2 linked regions of the Oryzias latipes genome follow. The protein of the gene in region 2 binds, or shares a complex with, the protein of the main gene of each other region. Links are inferred from orthologs where the notes say so. Each region holds a gene or a part of one and is shown on either strand. Other genes may lie near its edges.

Region 1 (4,884 bases), on a different chromosome or scaffold from region 2:
TAGCATAAAATAAAATAAAAAGTCGCAGTTTTCAAATAAAAACCCCCAAGATATCATGGTTTAAAATATATACATTATTTTTGAATCCTAATTATAGCATGTTTTTGTCCAAATTCCATATTATTTCTCTTGTCTCATGGGGTGGATTACCTTATCCCCGCACTGATCTGCTCCTGGTCCGGCCTTCTGTTTGCTCACCCCTGGTGTAACGTGTGACCTGCGTGTTTTTATAAATACTTTGGGTTCTTTTCCGTGTTCTTGTCCAATTCTCGGTGCTGTCGCAGCAGTTGGCAGTGCTGAGGATCACACGCCTGAAAGCTGGTGTTGGAAAAGAAACGAAATGAACCGTGACGGAGGGAGCAGTGTTGTGTTGCAGGCAGCGTTTCTGTGTCTGCATGCTTGTTTGAAAGGAAGTGCTAACAGCCAGCGGTGCTGCTTCTGTCCACCCTCCACCAGAACACCCACCTGGACCCGGAGGAGTACTTCACCAAGCAGGAGCGCATCGGGAAGGGCTCCTTTGGAGAGGTCTACAAGGGCATCAACAACCGCACTAAGGAGGTGGTGGCCATCAAGATCATTGACCTGGAGGAGGCAGAGGATGAGATAGAGGACATCCAACAAGAGATCACAGTGCTGAGCCAGTGTGACAGTCCTTATGTTACCAAATACTACGGGTCCTACCTCAAGGTGAGAGAAAAGCTGCAACTGCCTGCTGTTTACCTGCAAGCAAGGCTTTTATTTCCCACAGTTGAACTACTGTGTATATCCCCCCCCCCCCCCCACCCCACCCCACCCCCCAGGGGACCAAGCTGTGGATTATCATGGAGTATTTAGGTGGAGGATCTGCTCTGGATCTGGTAAGAAGATTTCCATTTTTATGGAGATTACAAATTACACAAGACGCCGCCTTGCTTACTTTTAGAGCCTGCCGGTTCTCTCGCCCTACTTCTGATGTCTTGGTTTACCCGCCGTCATCGTAGCTCCGCCCAGGACCTCTGGAGGAGACGTACATCGCTACCATACTGCGGGAAATCCTGAAGGGGCTGGAGTATCTGCACTCCGAGAGGAAGATTCACAGAGACATCAAAGGTAAAACGGAAGACCACTTAGAGAATCTTCACCCAGGAAACTTGTCAGGAGGGGAAATGGACTCACCCAATGTGTGTGCTGGTTCTGGATTTGTAACCCATCCATTTTGTCTTTAACTGAGGGTACTTGCTGTTGTAAACGAATATCAAAAACGTTCAAATCCAAAATACAGTTTACGCAGGCACAGCTTGAAATGACATCAACTTCAGACTAAGTACAAATTCAAAAAGTCTCCCAAACATAAAAAAACCCTTAAATGGTACGCTCCAATCGCTTGATACACACACTCAAAACCACACCTACACACAGATCAGAGTCACAAGAACACCAGGATGGATGGATGGATGGATGGATCTTTATTTGTCAAAGTCATACATACAATGAAATTAAAAGTGCCTTCTGGTCAGTGCAACATTCATCCATTAAAAAAAAATGTAAACAACTTACTACTAAAATAATACATAAAACTACATAAAAACCTCTGGCACCACCCCCTCTGACACCGCCCCCTCTGACAGCTCCGCCCTCTGGCACCGCCCCCTCTCGCTGTGCCAGAATGATTGAAAGTTTGAGGGGGAAAAATGGAAGATTTGAAACTCGAATAAAAAAACTTTTAATTATTACCAAATGAAAAATATTCTTTATAAAGTTTGTAGTTCCAGTTTAGAGCTGAAAGCACCAGAAGCGCTTTCAGCTGATGGGAATCATGTCACGACAGCCAATGAGCTTCCTTAACTCAGGTTCAGCAGAAAAGACTGAACGTCTGAATTCAAACTCTAAACGTAAAACGGAAATTAAAGAATAAAAAAAGAAAACAAAAACAACAGCAGCTGTTATGAATAAACAATATTTTTCATTTAGTAACAGTTTAAGCTTTAAAGTTTTGTTTTTTAAATTGAAGGTTCAAAATTAAAAAAAAACATTTCTTTTCAAATGTTCAATATTTTTAGACTTGAATCATGCTTAAGCCTGTTTTGAAGTGTTGACTTTTTGTCTTCCAATTGATGTGACCCTCTAGTTGTGCCTCTTTAGCCGTCCTGACCCGAGGCTGCAGGTCTTTCTAGCTAGTTAGTGGACACGGCAGTGACTGACGTCTGTCTCCTAGCTGCCAACGTGCTCCTGTCAGAGCAAGGCGACGTGAAGCTGGCAGACTTCGGCGTGGCGGGACAGCTGACGGACACGCAGATCAAGAGGAACACGTTTGTGGGCACGCCGTTCTGGATGGCTCCAGAGGTCATCAAGCAGTCGGCCTACGACTTTAAGGTGAGGGAAGTCTGTTCCAGAGCTGAAGAGCGTCTGTGGTGCTGACCTGTCTGGGAGGGGGCGCAGGAATGCTGAGCTTTTGAAACAGCCATTGAATTCATTTCTGTTTGGAAAAGCTTCATTTGGTTCACCTTTCCTTACACTCAGGCGGACATCTGGTCTCTGGGAATCACTGCCATCGAGTTGGCCAAGGGGGAACCCCCCAACTCTGACCTACATCCCATGAGGGTCCTGTTCCTCATCCCTAAAAACACTCCTCCCACGTTGGAAGGGCCGTACAGCAAACCGTTTAAAGAGTTTGTGGAGGCCTGTTTAAACAAGGATCCCCGTTTTGTGAGTGAAGCTGCATTTTCACCTCCAACCTTCTGTCATGTGATGGCGCTCTAGTGAAACCTTGTTTGTTGTTTTAAACCATCAGCAGAAAAAACGGATCATTTATGTATGAATCCAAGTCATGTAGGAGGAAAAGAGAGACATTTGGTAAATGAGGGAGAATGGCCTTCAAGTGTGCATAATCTGAATTTAACGCACGCCGAGGAAGTCTGGACAGTAAAGTGTGTCGCTTATACCTTGGTCACTTTCAAAAGAAATAAATATTCAACCAGTTTTTAGTCCTTTAATCTTGTTATTTTTTCAGTCTAGATCACTTTTTTTCACAAAAAGCGGACTATTTGTTAGGTGGTGCGGCGGGTCGTCATGGTAACATGACGGCACCAACCTCGACTGCAGCCGCAAAGGAAAGTGATAAATATGCTGATCGTCACGATGGGTTGAATAAAGCATCAGTTCAGAGAGAAAGTTCACCTCTTACCGCTTGTTTTTGTCCAAATGATGAAGATGAAGGTTGTTTTAAAGCCAGCGCAGTGATACAGAACATCTAAGCTTTGTGACCGGAACTTCTTTTTTAGGCGTACATTAACAGTTTTTAATGCACACCCAGCAGCCAATCAGAATCGAGGATTCACCCGGACCGTGGTATAACTCCTCATGAGGACCATGCGCGTCTGATCTTAAGGAAAACCCAGCTGCAGGGTTCTTGTGTGCTGACCCGGTTCTGTCGGTGTTCTGGCTCTTCACAGAGGCCCACCGCGAAGGAGCTGCTGAAGCACAAGTTCATCACTCGCTACACCAAGAAGACGGCTTATCTGACGGAGCTGATAGACCGGTACCGCCGCTGGAAGTCGGAGGGACACGGAGAGGAGTCCAGCTCAGACGACTCGGACATGTCCGTTTCAAATTTCTCTCTTCATCAGCAGCATGGCAGAGCGTGCAGATGCTCCGGCGCTGAACCAAAGAGGGTTCTGCTGCATGTGCACGATTGCTTCCCTGAGTGACAACAGAGCTGGGATTTCTGTGTCTGGAGTCTTCACGTCTCCTCCTTAAACACCCCTCTCCTGTCATTCCTGCAGGGATGCTGATGGGGACGGAGAGCAGTGTCCCGTGTGGACCTTCCCCACCGTCAGGCCCAGTTCTATGAGCCAGTTACAGATGGACTACGCACATTTAGAGTCGGGGGTGAGAACCGCAGCACAGAGCCTCAGACCTGACAGGTTTGCCGTGACCCTCTGACCTCTGTTCCCCTGCTTCCAGTCAGGAGACTCCATGAAGAGACAGCCCAAGTCCCAGTGCCTGTCTGCTTTGGTAACGCCCATCTTCAGAGAAGTAAGCCGAACGCATCTCAGTTGTAGAGACCGTACCAGAGCGGGCTCAGAAAATGCTTTTCCCGTCCAGCTGAAGGACAAGCGGCGAGCGAGTGGCGGCGGGGCAGGAGCCATAGAGGAGCTGGAGAACGCCTTCAACCTGGCAGAGGAGTCGTGTCCGGGCATCTCCGACCGCCTCGTCACGCACATGATGGAGAGAGTGTGCAGGTGAGGCGGCGGCCCCTGTGCGGCCCGCGCTGGCCTGTGCAACACGCCGCCCGCATTAACCCGCCATCCTGCTGTCTTCCAGGTTTTCTTTAAACGGAAACACCGCTCCCTCCTCACGGTGAAACCAGCGGGATGTGATGAGCCAGCCGCCCCTTTTCCCGTCACCTGTTCAAGTTGTCAGATGAAATGTGCCCCACCCCCTCAGAGATCTTTTCATTAGCTATGACGACATATTTTTAAAGGTTTGCTTCCAGAGTGGAGAGTATTTAAGAGGAAAAGCCATGACCCTTAAGAGCGTCGTCTGCCCGTTAGACTGAGAACTGCTACAATAAACTCCACAGAAAATCTTTCCTTGTTTTGGTTTTTGAACGACATCAATAAGATTTTGAAAGCTGCTGACTGTCGTCCCACAAACTCCCCTCATGAGACGATGCAGAAGACCCCAACCATGCAGAAGGGGGAACATTGTGGAAGCTCGGCTGCTAACAAAGGGAAACCCGCAGCGGTCTTCACATGACGTCAACAAACACGGCGTTACACTGATTAATGAACCGTTTTCCAACTAAACGGGTGAAGCCGCCTGAACAGAACTGTTTCCTCCAACTCTGCCCTCAAAGCGTTTCGGAGTCGACGTCTGTCTGCACACCGCTGCAGATGGCCGAGC
Region 2 (6,384 bases):
GAAATTAAATCTTTTTGTATTTTTGTGTTATTTTATACGGAGCCCGTGTCCTGACATTAAGATATAAAAATATATCTTGTTCCCACAGATTAATATCTTGTTCCCACAGGTTATTATGTCGTTCGCACGAAATACTATTCCGTTCCCACAAGATACTATTCCGTTCCCACAAGATACTATTGCGTTCCCTCAAAATACTATTCCGTTCCCTCGAAATGATTAACTCGTGCGAACGCAATAATTATGTCGTTCGAACGCAATAATTAATCCGTTCGAACGCAATAATTATTCACGTCATAAGTCATTCACGCGGATATGCTCTCTGTACGCCGGCAAAAGCCGCTTTCAGCGGTAACTTCCGTGTCTCTGTGACCCATATTCGTTCAAAAAAGGAACATGAAAAACAAAAATGATCACTTTATTACCGTCTCAATGAATATAAGAAAAATATCAAAAGATTTATGATAACTAGGCTGCTTTGTCAAACGATAGCTCCTGCTAGGCTAGCTCCGCCGCAGAGCTCTCTGTCTGATCATGTATGCCGGCATTTGGGCAACTGGCTGGTCTGTTGTCAGACAGCTGATATTGTAGTTTAGGGTCGAATAGGAATAATAATATTCAGGACTTGTCTTTTATTAACTTTAGCAGTCAGTATTTTTACATTCGAAGGCTATTAGGCTACATGCTAACTGACTAGCCGATCATTTCCTGTTATTAATTTACGTCATAGATTTACAGCAGATACCTTCACATTTCTGTCTGTGTGTGTCTCATTACATTGCATTGAAGACACGGAGGATGTTTAGAGAACAGATTTATTTATTTTATTTATAAAAGCACAGAAGCATCCATCGTTTTCACGTTCACATCTGGTACGCCCTCAGTCATCTTGCTGCAAAAGCCGCTTCCTGCCGCTACTTCCGTGTCTCTGTGAGCATTCAATAGGGGTAAAAATAAAAGCAAGAATGGTCGATCTGTTATTTTCTCGATGAAAATCTGAAAAATATCATATTAAGCTGGATGCTTCGCCTAAAGCACTTACCTTTAGCTTGTAGCATAACAACAATAGCAGTACGTCCCGTTTCCCAGAGTGCTTTGCTGCCAATCACTAGCCAATCACCGTGTCCCTGTGACCAAGGTCTAACAACAAGACCAATGATTGGCCAGTGATTTGCAGCAAAGCACTCTGGGAAACGGGACGTACTGCTATTGTTGTTATGCTACAAGCTAAAGGTAAGTGCTTTAGGCGAAGCATCCAGCTTAATATGATATTTTTCAGATTTTCATCGAGAAAATAACAGATCGACCATTCTTGCTTTTATTTTTACCCCTATTGAATGCTCACAGAGACACGGAAGTAGCGGCAGGAAGCGGCTTTTGCAGCAAGATGACTGAGGGCGTACCAGATGTGAACGTGAAAACGATGGATGCTTCTGTGCTTTTATAAATAAAATAAATAAATCTGTTCTCTAAACATCCTCCGTGTCTTCAATGCAATGTAATGAGACACACACAGACAGAAATGTGAAGGTATCTGCTGTAAATCTATGACGTAAATTAATAACAGGAAATGATCGGCTAGTCAGTTAGCATGTAGCCTAATAGCCTTCGAATGTAAAAATACTGACTGCTAAAGTTAATAAAAGACAAGTCCTGAATATTATTATTCCTATTCGACCCTAAACTACAATATCAGCTGTCTGACAACAGACCAGCCAGTTGCCCAAATGCCGGCATACATGATCAGACAGAGAGCTCTGCGGCGGAGCTAGCCTAGCAGGAGCTATCGTTTGACAAAGCAGCCTAGTTATCATAAATCTTTTGATATTTTTCTTATATTCATTGAGACGGTAATAAAGTGATCATTTTTGTTTTTCATGTTCCTTTTTTGAACGAATATGGGTCACAGAGACACGGAAGTTACCGCTGAAAGCGGCTTTTGCCGGCGTACAGAGAGCATATCCGCGTGAATGACTTATGACGTGAATAATTATTGCGTTCGAACGGATTAATTATTGCGTTCGAACGACATAATTATTGCGTTCGCACAAGTTAATCATTTCGAGGGAACGGAATAGTATTTTGAGGGAACGCAATAGTATCTTGTGGGAACGGAAAAGTATCTTGTGGGAACGGAATAGTATTTCGTGCGAACGACATAATAACCTGTGGGAACAAGATATTAATCTGTGGGAACAAGATATATTTTTATATCTTAATGTCAGGACACGGGCTCCGTAATTTTATTTTTAGGTTTGGGGTCTAAATGTGTGTCTGGATTTCCCGGCATGCAGCGCGGCAGGATTCCCCCTCGCAGCCGTCACATCCAGGCGGACAGCAGTGATGGCGGCCGGTGAGACTCACACGTAAACACCGCCTCCAAGTCGCCGCTCTCCGCTAAGCGCTCAGGGGCAGCCGGCCTCTTCCACGGCGGCGGTGCCAGCGCGACAAGTACCCCGGCGGAGACGCGCGAGGCCTTCGGCGCCTTTTTTTTTCCTTCTTTAATATTTAAAATCGGTTAGCTAATCATTAAGTACAAACGGCGCCGCACGTTCTAACAAAACCCGAAATATGGACGAACACCCAGGCGGGGGAGGAGCGGCCTCCCCGCGGCCGCCGCCGCTGCAGCAGCACGGGAGCAACTCCGGACCTCCCATCGGAACGGTCATGGTGCCCCAGCAGACGGACGAGTTAGCCCGGCCACAGCAGCAGTACACTATCCCGGGAATTCTACACTACATCCAGCACGAGTGGGCCCGGTTCGAAATGGAGAGGGCGCACTGGGAGGTGGAGCGGGCCGAACTCCAGGTTAGTCCGTCGCTATGGGTTAGCTGCTTAGCATTAGCATGGTTAGCTTCTTTTTTTCCACAGTCACCGGGGATCTCAAATAACCTTTTATCGGTATACGTATTAACGTGAATTTAAGGTAGCGACCGGAGCCCCACTGACATGTCAAGGGGGACGAGTAACCGGCGTGGAGGTCTGTTATCCAGCCGGGAGTCTGAGTGCGTTGGCCGTTAGCTTTGGAGCCCGTGGCTCAACTGAGATATCGGGAGCCTGCAGCCGCCGTGGATACGTTAATCGTGCTGTTTTGACATTTGGACCAGATGTTGGTCAGATGTTGTTCGTGACAGTCAGACGACCCTAAACGAATGACCTTACCGATTCAAATCCGTGATTCTGGAGGTTTTTTTTAATCAACCTATACATAGAAAAGTGGCTTTTTCTGGTTCTCTGGTTGGCTGCGAAGCATCTTTCAGGTCACACCTCCCTCTGGAAGATCTCCTGCATTCTAGGTCTTTATTTGCTGTCAGTTTTTTTATTTATTTACATGAATTCCTGTACATTTTCCATTTGAAGTCTGTGGATTTCTCCTTGGAAACAGCCTGTAAACAAACATGACTTCCCGATGAGAGAAGCGGGATCTGGAGCTGCTCCATGTTCTTCATGGAGCTCCAGGTGTGTGTTGGCTTTGCCGTGTCCAGCAGCAGATCTGCTGCTTCTACATCTCAGTTTGTGTGACAGAAGCAGACCCTTTTGGGTTTTTAGAAGGAATATCTGGCATCATCTCAGCTGTGGAGATGTTTCTGTCGGGGGGGGGGGGGGGGGGACGCTTTAATAAAGGCTAAAAACAAAATGAGAGTGTTGGTAGTGATATCATTTCATCACCATTGAACAATAAGGTTACTCCTCAGAGCCATTGAACGTATTGTGAGTCTCCAGGATGAGGATGATGAAGAGGCCGGAGGATTCTGCTCTGATCCTGGTCTGTGATGTCACAACCCAAAGGATGGTCCAATCAGATATTTATAGAAGTAGGTGACCCTGAACCAACGTCAGGCTCTCACATCAAACTGCATGGATCTCCCTTTTGGAGATTTGATATTTAAATTCCCTTAAAATTTAACTCACGAAGCAGAAGGAGACACTGGTGGGTTTATAATAACGAGGAAAAAGGAGTTAGTTTTAACCAAAATATGCTTTTTTTTCCTGTTATGGCATTATGTCTGCGCTGTTATTGATGTACACAATATTTTACATAATAAATGTGTTTTTAAATCATTCTTTTTTTATTAGAAACTGTCGAATTCTTTCATTTTTTAGATTTTATTAAATTTTTCCTCCTCATGTTTTAAGTCTTTTTGTTCTTCTGCAATGTTGCCACTAGATGGCACTAGATGTTTACACAGCAACCTCAAAAAGCCAAAAATAAATGTAAAAAAAAAATCAATTGTATTGTATCTTCCAGCTTCCAGAGCCACGTTTTGCTCCTCTGGACATGAATTCAGAGCAAAACTCTGACAGTGTGACGTCGTCGGTCTTAAATAGCTGTACTGACACAACGACAGTGGCGTTTTAATGAGGTGACGTGGTTGAATAACTGCAGCCCACATGTGCTGTTTTGGTCAGGGGTGTTGAGAAGCTCCCGATGACTCACAGGAACTCTGTCTGGTTTGTCATCGCCATACATTTAGGCTGAGCTGCTCACCGAACCTCCTTTCCAGTGTCTGATTCATGTAGGTGTCACATGACCTCACTCAACTCAACAACCATGTAAACAATCTTTAAAGAGTGACTCCCATATCTTTCAGAAACCTATCATAAAGAGAAGATCCAGGAGGATTTGGTTTCTCTGGAAGTGACTCGGTTGTTTTCTTGACACAATATTTTTGTGTACATAAGAGTTTTGAAACATTTGTTTCTGTTCTGCGTCTTTCCAGGCCCGGATAGCGTTCCTGCAGGGGGAGAGGAAGGGCCAGGAGAACCTAAAGAACGATCTGGTTCGAAGAATCAAGATGTTAGAATATGCTTTAAAACAGGAAAGGTAGGAACCCCGACTCATCTCAATTTATTCATTTTATCATCTAAATGTTTGAGACCAAAGAAAAAAAAATCTCTGCCTTCAAACAGGAAAACGACTAAAATCCAGAGGGAATGCTTCACTTTACGAACAGAGAATTAGGTTCGTTTGGAAGTGATTTCATAGCAGAAAAACAAGTTTCAGGTCAGAATCAATGTGAAAAACCTTGACCCAAGCTTAAAGTTGATTCCCCTTGTGGTTAAAATCATTTTCATCTTTTAAAAACAAGAATTTTATATTAAAAGGATTAAGATTTTTCTCTTTGCTTTTGGTCTTTTGAACATCCAATTCAAAATATATCAAACATTTATTTCATAACATATCAGATATATTTTTTTGTTTAGACAATTAAACAGAAAATTGAGGGAAAGGCATCAGAAGAGGATCAGCAATAAGGACTGGACTGAAAAAGTCAGGAAAAGAAACGTTTTTAGGAAAGTTTGCAGAACTTTAAAACTGAATTCATAAGAAAAGTTTAAGGCAGAAATCAATTTAAAAAAACAATGTTTTCAAAGTCTGTTTACATGAAACGACTTTAGATTTTGAACTTGATCTTTGAGGTTGACATCTGTAAGAATAAATAATATTTTTTTCTCTTCCTCCTAGAGCGAAATATCACAAGTTAAAATATGGAACAGAGCTGAACCAAGGAGAGATGAAGATGCCAAGCTTTGAATCAGGTCTGAAAGTCTTCCTCAGTTTCATTTCTTGTTTCTTTCACTCTTTCCTAAACGTATTTGATGGATTAAATGCTAATTATCGGATGAGAAAACTGCTTTAATACATTAATTAGGGGGTGTTAGAAAAAATCGTTTCGGCGATATATCGCGATAGTTCATTTGGCGATACTCGTATCGATTCAAAATACTGTCAGGACGATATTTATTTAATTATTCTTCAGCGTCTTCAGCGTCTGACTCTTGCTGTCCACTTCAACCTCCGGCCACTAGTGGGCAGCAGAGAACATGGAACCTCTTTGAGGAGCTCTACACACAAGACAACAGGAAGACTGCAGCCAGAGTCAGCTTGTTTCGTTGTCATGCGACATGAACTACTTCATTTTTACTTGGGATGGGAACCGAACCATAACTCTGTTCCATGTTGCTGCAATTAACATATAAAAACGCGAATTGTGGTGCTTTTTAGCGGACTCGGACAAAAACGAGTGAAGCAGTGCAGCTGCACAGCGGCTAATCTAATGCACTTAGCATCGGCCAAAATGCTATCGGCAAAGTGGGCCAAAGTTCTGCAGAACCTCTCAGCAATAGATTCTAGTTCAGCGACCTGTTAGAGCAGAGTGACGTTTACAACGCTCTGAAAAACGGGCAACGTCGTGGCGATAACCGTTACTAGTTGACCTCCGTGTGTGAGAAGGAGCTGCAGTGCAGACTGCAAACAAAGCGTCTTAGCCACATTAAGACGCTCTCCTTCATCCTGTCATGCTGCCTCATCATCACACTTTATTGTTTCTGGAAAAATAATAGTGATTCTATAGTTTATGTTACCAAAATAAAAGCTCTATG

Evidence for each region.
Region 1: strn3 (region 2) and stk25 share a complex: the UniProt entries of both Homo sapiens proteins name them as parts of the core of STRIPAK complex. The link is inferred for Oryzias latipes from reciprocal best matches to the Homo sapiens genes STRN3 and STK25.

Annotation. Positions count from the first base shown.
Region 1 is NC_019875.2:5,717,259-5,722,142, forward strand, and holds part of stk25 (serine/threonine-protein kinase 25), read left to right. Parts: intron 1-456; coding exon 457-687; intron 688-800; coding exon 801-857; intron 858-980; coding exon 981-1,089; intron 1,090-2,194; coding exon 2,195-2,352; intron 2,353-2,499; coding exon 2,500-2,685; intron 2,686-3,431; coding exon 3,432-3,577; intron 3,578-3,761; coding exon 3,762-3,867; intron 3,868-3,942; coding exon 3,943-4,014; intron 4,015-4,083; coding exon 4,084-4,220; intron 4,221-4,302; coding exon 4,303-4,342; 3' UTR 4,343-4,884. UniProt on the Homo sapiens protein: Oxidant stress-activated serine/threonine kinase that may play a role in the response to environmental stress.
Region 2 is NC_019880.2:2,601,263-2,607,646, reverse strand, and holds the start of strn3 (striatin-3), read left to right. Parts: upstream 1-2,310; 5' UTR 2,311-2,571; coding exon 2,572-2,808; intron 2,809-4,721; coding exon 4,722-4,825; intron 4,826-5,467; coding exon 5,468-5,541; intron 5,542-6,384. UniProt on the Homo sapiens protein: Calmodulin-binding scaffolding protein which is the center of the striatin-interacting phosphatase and kinase (STRIPAK) complexes.